2 linked regions of the Rattus norvegicus genome follow. The protein of the gene in region 1 interacts with the protein of each later gene in a biochemical or structural test. Links are inferred from orthologs where the notes say so. Each region holds a gene or a part of one and is shown on either strand. Other genes may lie near its edges.

The links.
Region 2: the proteins of Rdx (region 1) and Arhgdia form a complex in vitro, tested with the Homo sapiens proteins (2 studies listed by BioGRID and IntAct). The link is inferred for Rattus norvegicus from reciprocal best matches to the Homo sapiens genes RDX and ARHGDIA.

What each region holds. Positions count from the first base shown.
Region 1 is NC_086026.1:61,274,715-61,278,621, reverse strand, and holds the start of Rdx (radixin), read right to left. Parts: upstream 2,831-3,907; 5' UTR 2,682-2,830; intron 2,500-2,681; exon of another isoform or gene 2,361-2,499; intron 1-2,360. UniProt on the Homo sapiens protein: Probably plays a crucial role in the binding of the barbed end of actin filaments to the plasma membrane.
Region 2 is NC_086028.1:106,353,942-106,357,848, forward strand, and holds the start of Arhgdia (rho GDP-dissociation inhibitor 1), read right to left. Parts: upstream 2,407-3,907; 5' UTR 2,353-2,406; intron 2,267-2,352; exon of another isoform or gene 1,815-2,266; intron 1,202-1,814; 5' UTR 1,180-1,201; coding exon 990-1,179; intron 860-989; coding exon 776-859; intron 555-775; coding exon 478-554; intron 399-477; coding exon 335-398; intron 249-334; coding exon 49-248; 3' UTR 1-48. UniProt on the Homo sapiens protein: Controls Rho proteins homeostasis. Regulates the GDP/GTP exchange reaction of the Rho proteins by inhibiting the dissociation of GDP from them, and the subsequent binding of GTP to them.

The sequences.
Region 1 (3,907 bases):
AGCTTTTTATTCTATGGCTTTACATCTTTCTGGGTGTTATAACTTTACCATGGAGTATATTATTTTTATAGTGTTTTTAAAATTTATTTATTTAATGCATATTCATACACACTATAGCTGTCTTCAGACACACCAGAAGAGGGCATCCCATTAGAGATGGTTGTGAGCCACCATGTGGTTGCTAGGAATTGAACTCAGAACCTCTGGAAGAGCAGTCGGCGCTCTTAACCTCTAAGCCATCTCTCCAGCCCTTTTATAGTGTTTTTAATGATTTAAAATATACGTCCATAAGTACTAAGAAGCATATAGTACTTGTATATTATATAGGGCAGATTGGATAGCTGTAAAACACATGAGAGAGAACAGAAAAACTGAGGACAGACTGGATGAGCTTCCTATTGGAGTCTGAAGTCAGGGCTTTCCCAGAACACCCTCTAGTGACACCTATGGTCTAGAAACTTAAAATAACCTTATGGGGCAGCAGCTTAATCCAGCTCCCTATTCAGGGTATCAACAGGGTAAAGTAGTACCCATCAGTGCAAGTCATCCAGGAGTGATTTCCTTACTTCCCAGACTGCAGCAATGAGAGAGGCCCAAGCCAGAGAGTGATTTAATCTCCCAGGCTGTACCAATAACAGGAAACTATTGCCTATGCCCCACAGATATGCTCTTCTGCACAGCTCAGCCTTCCCTACCTCAATGGGACAAGATTTTAAAAGCCCTGGTCCTTGGGGAAAGAAAGTTAACATTTGCCACCCCGTTTTTAAATGGCTCAACTTAAAATGTGTTGTTTTAAATGAATGAAAATTCTGGACTCTCACCATCACTCAACATTTCAAAACCTACTATATCAGACTGTACATAATTTTATATTAAGAGATTGAAAAACTGAAAATAAAAATCTTTAAGTCTTTCAACCACTCACCAGAGATTAAAAACTAGCTAATAATTAATTCTTCTCTTGGGAATGGTGAAGCAAGGAACAAAACTCAGTTGGTGAACTTTTCTCCCATCCCCCAACCCCCAAACCCCAACTACTGCCTGCTACTAAGAGAGGCAGAAAGCAAACCTGTTGTCCCTAACCACTGCACAAAAATGAAGCTGTGTAATCTCCACCCAGGTAACGACAATTCCCACAAAATTAAGATTTAATGTGTTTTTCCGCACAGCAAAATCTATTAAATCTATCCTACAAACATCTGAGCTCCTCCTACATTCTCTCCTTGTATGAAGCTACATTTGAGCAAACCAGTATGTAGGACCCACAGAGGCAAGGGCTTCACATCTAAGTGTCACAATCAAACTCCTTCTCCTGTAGACAAGCTAAAGACTTCCTAGTGACAACGGGAGTTATGTTCCAAAATACAGTTTTCAAAGGGATTTATGCAAAGAAAGCCAGTGTGGTTCTTTTCACAGCATACTGACAATTTGAAAAGGAGTCTGCATTTTGTCATATTTGAAGAAATTATTATGAAAGATAAGGTACACCCTGGTGCAAGTGACAAAACTCTAAAGATACAAACAAACCAACAACGCAGTCCTAAACATTAGGCTCTCTTTTCAGATCTGATGGGGCTGTTTTGCCAAGCAGATTAAGCCATTATTTATGCAGCAAAATGAACAGGGCAATTGTTTATTCTGAGCTCCGTCACAGTTTTATAAGTATTCTATAAAAAAAAAAAAAAGATGCTTGGTCAACAATAGATTGCAGTGTCCAAGTACTCTTTCATCACATGAACCCTTGTTATCTTGGGCTTTTACATTTACATCATGCAAATCTTGGTGCCTCCACACAGCCAACAAGGCATCTCTCTCACTCCTCTTTTTACAAATCTGAACTGAACTTTAAAAAAAAAATTATGAACTTGACCTCTAAACACACTTCCAATGAAAAACCACTCCTGGGGGGTTGGGGAGGGGGGCAAAACCACCCAGAATCCTGGCAACGTTTACAGAAACATCTGTGTAGGTGCAGACGTGCTATTTCAACTGAAATAACGTACTGCTCCCTTTCTAACTTAGCTGGGAGATGGGAGTTTGGGAGCCCCGAAAGGTAGAAATGCTTAGTTTCCCGGTGGGGGTCTGCTAACACTGCGCCAGCGACTCCGAGGAGCGGGCAAGTCGGGGGACCGGGAGGACACGGGCAGCCGACTGCAGCCCCAGGTAAAGACGGCTGGGAGCTCGGGCCTGGCCTCGCGGGCTCGAACGGTGGGACCGGGCAACGCGACGGCCTTTCCGCTGCTAGGGTGTCCGCACGCTCTCTAGTAATCCAACACCCCGACTTTCAAACAGGAGGCCGGGGGAGAAGTTCTAGCCTTGCCGCCCCCCGTCCCCGGGTTGCGAGAGAGCATGCGACCTACGCTCCACGCGGCCCCCGGGGGCGCGCCGGGCCGAGCCCGGGGCCCAGTCCAAGGCGGCGGGAACCCGCACCGCCCGACGCACCGGGCGGCCAGGCCGACGGTGGGCGGCGCGGAGCTGCGGGAGACTCCGGGTGAGTGGCATGGCTCAGCCGTTAACGATCGCGGCGCCTCTCGGGCGGCCAGGCGCGAGCCCGTCTGTGAGGCGCGCCAGGCCCCGGGTCGCGGCGCCACAGCCCGGCAACTTCTGGCCGCCACCTCAGCGCCTCGGTGGGGAGAGCAGCACCCGGGCCTGGGACGGGGAGCGCGCCGAGCAGGGCTTACCCCAAAAATGAGCGGCTCCTTCCTTGCCCGCCGCCGGCTGGCTGAGGCGGGGCTCGGCGGGGGCGTCGCGGCTGGCGGCGAGCGAGCGGAGAGTCGGCGGTGCGAGCCCTGGGCCGCCTGAGAGAAGACGCGCCGCAGCCGCCGCAGACAGCTCGGCAATATGGCCGCCCGGCGCCTCCTCGGGGGGGAAGGCGGGGCCGCCCCGCGCCCCCTCCTCCCGCGGCCCGCCAGTGGCGGGGCGAGGCCGGGACTCGAGCGCCAACACCGCGGCCGCAGCGAGAGCGTGTCCCCCGGCCGCCCCCGGGGGCTTGGCGCCACAGGCGGAGTGGAGTGGGCCTCAGCCGGGGGACGCGCTGCGGGGCCTTCGCGAAGCCTTCCCGAAGCCTTCCCGAGGGACGAGGACGCCGCGGGTCAGCCCGAGTCCGAAGCCCGCAGTGAACGAAGCGGAGCCGCGCGGCCCGAAGCTCGCCGTGCGCCCGCCGCCAGCCCCCGCCCCGCGCGTGGAAACTTGAAACTCCCGCTGGTGCCAGGGAACTCACGGAGGGCGTTTCCAGCGCCCCCGAGGTGGAGCTGTTCCCAGGAGGAGGGGGAACCGGGCAGCCGCTCCAGGGTGTAGTTCGGTGCTAGGCTGCAGGATCCCGGGCTAGGAGAGGGAAATAGGCCCAGTGTTTGCAACAAAAGAACATTAATTTATGCGGATTTTTAACCAACTAGAAAGGCTGGCTGGTTTTAATTTTGCAGTGTTTTTTAAGTTCCATCAAAACGTCAGTGGGTATAACCCCATAATGAGATCGGATTATTTGATGGTGGTGGTGTTAGCAGTGATACTCCTTGGCAGTTAGAAGGAGTAGGTTAGGAAGAAAAAGTTGGAAGTAGGGCCCAAAGAACAGCCAACCCTAAATTATTGTAGACTTGGAGAAAGTTAACAGTCTGACCATCATCTCACTGTATCCACTCACTAGAGAGACACAGTGGCTGGCTTCTTCTGAGGTTATCTCGGTGCTGCCAGCCCTTGGTACTTTCTGCTGGGATTTGGAGTAACACTTGGTGTAACTTGTACACACAGCAACGGTTCAAACCTTACTAGCCTGCTGCATTCCATTTACAGTGCTTAACTCACTATCTCTTTCGTAAACGAACTTTCAATACAAATATGACGCGAGTGTACTTAATTCTTACAGGATAAATAAAGTCATCTTCAGGGCAATCTTAGACTTGCCTTTGCC
Region 2 (3,907 bases), on another chromosome or scaffold:
GTCGGTCCTTCTGTCTGTCCGTCGCCCTGCCCGCCTCCCAGCTGGAGCTCAGTCCTTCCATTCCTTTTTGATGGTGAGATTCCACTCCCAGGACAGGTGGTCAGTTTTGTCATCATCTGTGAAGCGGGACTTGATGTTGTAACTGCCCCGAGCAAGCATGCCTTTGGGGGCCTCTTCCATGGGTGTCAGGAACTCATACTCCTCAGCCCTTGGCCCATAGCTCCCGACCATGTAGTCAGTCTTGTCAACTGTGAGACAGGAAAGGCACAGTTACGGGTGATACAAGTCCCTCCAAGGCCCACTGGCTTCCCGCTCTATGGGCCCGCCCACTCACTTTTGACCCCTTTCCTGTATGTGTGCTGGATGTACTTCATGCCTGACACGATCTCTCTGTTCACCTGTTGGGACACAGAACCAGGGTCAGCTGGTTTCCCATTCTTGCTCCTCTGCCCCCCTTTCCCAAAGCCTTCTCCTTACCCGGAAAGAGATTTTTATCCGGTACTCCACACCTTCCTTCAACACAAATGACTGTTTCTTGAAGCTCTCCAGATCACCTGTATTGAGGAGGTGGCTCAGCTGGTTGCTTGAAAGGTTTTCCACCCTGCCCCCACACCCACTTTCCCTAGCTCCTTCCCTGACACAAAGCAGAGCCTTTGCAAGCCCTTAGCTGCACTTCCCCTCTGCTCCACCAGAGGGCATCAGTGCAGAAAATTATTTTTAGGGGTAGTGGCAAGATGCCAGCTGGCCCCACCCAGGGACTCTAATACCCACTCACCTGTCAGGTCCAGTTCCAGAGGGCCTGGGGCAGTGCTGCACACCAAGGTCAAGCGGGTCACAATGACGTTGGGGACATTGGGGTCTGCAGAGTGAGAGTTAAGAGTCAGAGTTCTGATCCTTAAGATTTTTTTTTTCAGCTCACTTCCTGGAAGAGTGGTATGGAAAGAAGGTGGCAACAGGGTCAGGTGGGATCCCTCCTTCAACCCACCTACCTGCAGAGACAGCTACTCGGCCCAGCAGGGCCTCCTTGTACTTTCGAAGGCTTTCATCATCCTTGTCCAGTTCCTGGATCTCCTGGATGCTCTTCTGGGCTGGAGGCTTGTAGTTCACAGAGTGCTCGTCTTCCTCATTCTCTGCAGCTATCTGAGCGAGCTGCTCAGCAGTGGGTTCCTGTTCTGCCATGCTCACCTCTAGTTTGGGACACCTGTGAGTGGGGCATGAGCAGGACTGTGACAGCCTGGAGGCATTCCACCCTAGGCAGACCCTGACACCTGCAGGGAAAGACACTGGGAACTTTTGAGAGAAGACAGGAGGAGGCTGCTGTCACTGCCGAACCCAGAGGTCCATTTGAGAGGGCTACACCCCAAGGAACGAAATGGGACCACAGCCTGTTCCTCAGAGAAGCAAAATATCTTTTCTCCCCAAGAAGAATAAGCCGCCTCCACAACAAACTGAACCGGCAGACACAACGCTAAATCCCTGGGGTCCTGCTGCTGTCCCTAGCTGCCCAGGCTCTCATCTTACTGGGTTGGGTCACGGAGGTAAGTTCTCCTACAGGGGGATGCTCTGTACCTTAGCCACGTGCAGGACAAGGGTCTGTTTGTTCCTTCCTGCCAATGGAATACTGTACTAAGCTAAACTATGTGATGATCGCTTAAATCCCAAGAGCCCAAAGGAGATCCTAAATATGCAGGTCTGTTCCCCCTAGTGAGGGTCTGAGTATGCAACTTGGGAGCAGGTACACCGCTTGCAGATAAATCTCAGGAACCTGTTTCTGGGCCTTGACCCTAAACCGTCAGTGGCGGTGGAGAACCAACCCGGACGGGAAGCGCCTAGATGCCGTTCAGTTCCGCAGATCCCCAAATGTCTTTCAGAAACCCACTGTAATGCCTGCAGGCGACGCGCAGCGGTCAGGGGGACAGCCCGGCCGTTGTCCCTCTGAGAGGTGTCGGGCAAAGAAACACATAAAGCAGCGGTCCGATACCGAGAGGCTGCAGACGACCCCGCCCGACGCCGCCAAGCGTGGCCGCCGGCGAAAGCATCAGGGCGCGGCCCGCACTTCCGTAGGGCCCGCAATCCGAGCGGGGCGGGGCCGCGCGGCGGGAGCTCCGGGCAAGGCCCCGCGCCGGACCCCGCCCGCGAGGCCGAGGGAGGGGGTCTCACTGGCACCGGGCGCGCAGGCCCTGGCAGCGGCGGCCCCTCAGGCAGGACCTATGCTGCCTCCCGGGCCCGCCCCGCCCGCCTCCATGACCGCGCCCCGCCCGCGAGCGCCGCAGTCGCCCGCGTCGCCGCACAAAGCCAACCCACTCCCCTCACGCGCCGCGCCGCACCGTGCCGCGCCACGCGCCCACTCACCGGAGGCTCGACCACCGCTCTCGCGCTCCCTCCCGCACCAAATGACGAACGTCGTCCGCCGCCCGCCGCTCGGACGGTCACTTCCGGGGTCACAAGACTTCCGCTCTCGCGGGCGGGGTCGCCTTGCGCATGCGCCGGCAGGGGGCGCGGGTCGGTGCCGTCGCCATTTTGCTGCGGGCCTCGTGGGCGCGTCTCGCGTGGGCGGGAGACCTCGCGCTTCTGTAGAATGTCTAGTACGAGTGTCTGTGAGACGAGAGTCTTCTCTTCCAGAGCAGGATCGCGCGGTCACTCTGGGGCTTCCAAGGTTCCCTGATGGTTGTGCCTGGCTCTTGTCCCATTGTCCTGGGAATCACCAGAACCACAGTCCTCGGATGCAGCAGTACCTTGTACCTATGCCGCCTGGCGCATTGCTTTGGGAACCATGTGCCCTCCAGAACCCCCGAATATTATGAGTTATTTGGTTTGTTTTTAGTTTCTATTTTGAGAAAGTTATTTTTGTTTTGTTTTGTAACAGTGTGGCTATCTTGGACCTCACTGTAGACCAGGCTAACCTCTAACCGAGATCCGCCTGCCTCTGCCTTCAGAATGCTGGGATTAAAAGTGTTCATCACTGGGGTTGGGGATTTAGCTCAGTGGTAGAGCGCTTGCCTAGGAAGCGCAAGGCCCTGGGTTCGGTCCCCAGCTCCGAAAAAAAAGAACCAAAAAAAAAAAAAAAAAGTGTTCATCACCACCACCAGGCATATTTCACAGCCTTAAGGCCAGGGCCTCTTTAATGGAGGGCCTGACTGGGGGACTTCCTGTGGTGTGCTTTTGCCAGCCACTTCAGTTCCTCCTGAGGATTCAGTTCCTGCTACTCCATGAGGGCACTCGATTGTGGCTTCTCCCGAATGTAACCTCAGACAGAGGGGAGGCAGAAATTTCTGTATTTTAATCCCACAAGAGCCATCACTTCTGGCCTGCTCTGCTGGCCACACCCGCCCTGGTAGTATCTCAGAAACAGCTGTTGGCTCCAATCATGAAGTTTAAAAGATGATATTAGGAATCAAATGGCCCTCACCATCCATCTTTAGTTATGGCCGTTTTTTTTTTTTTTTTTTTTTTTTTTTTCCGGAGCTGGGGACCGAACCCAGGGCCTTGTGCTTTCTAGGCAAGCGCTCTACTACTGAGCTAAATCCCCAACCCCATGGCCGGTTATTTTATACAAGCACGCACGTATCCTCTGGCCACACATCAATCTGAAGCAAACCAAATGTCCATGTGTTTTTATATCTACGGAATATGGATCTGCTATCCCACCTCCAGGTGGCTGCTGTCCTATGGTGGCGAACTATTTTAAAACAAAACGCCCTCACCACTTGATTATTTCCACTCTTACTATATGGTGAATTTGGCTGGCCTTGAACCTACACACAGGTGTGCACAAGTGTGTTAGGCTAGCTTTTCAGGAGGCCCATGGTACTCCAACTGGATGAGCCTGCTTTATTGAGCTCTGTCCCACCCACAATTCCCTGGTTTGACGCTCCAAGCACAAATCTTCCAAAGCAGCGTTTTTATT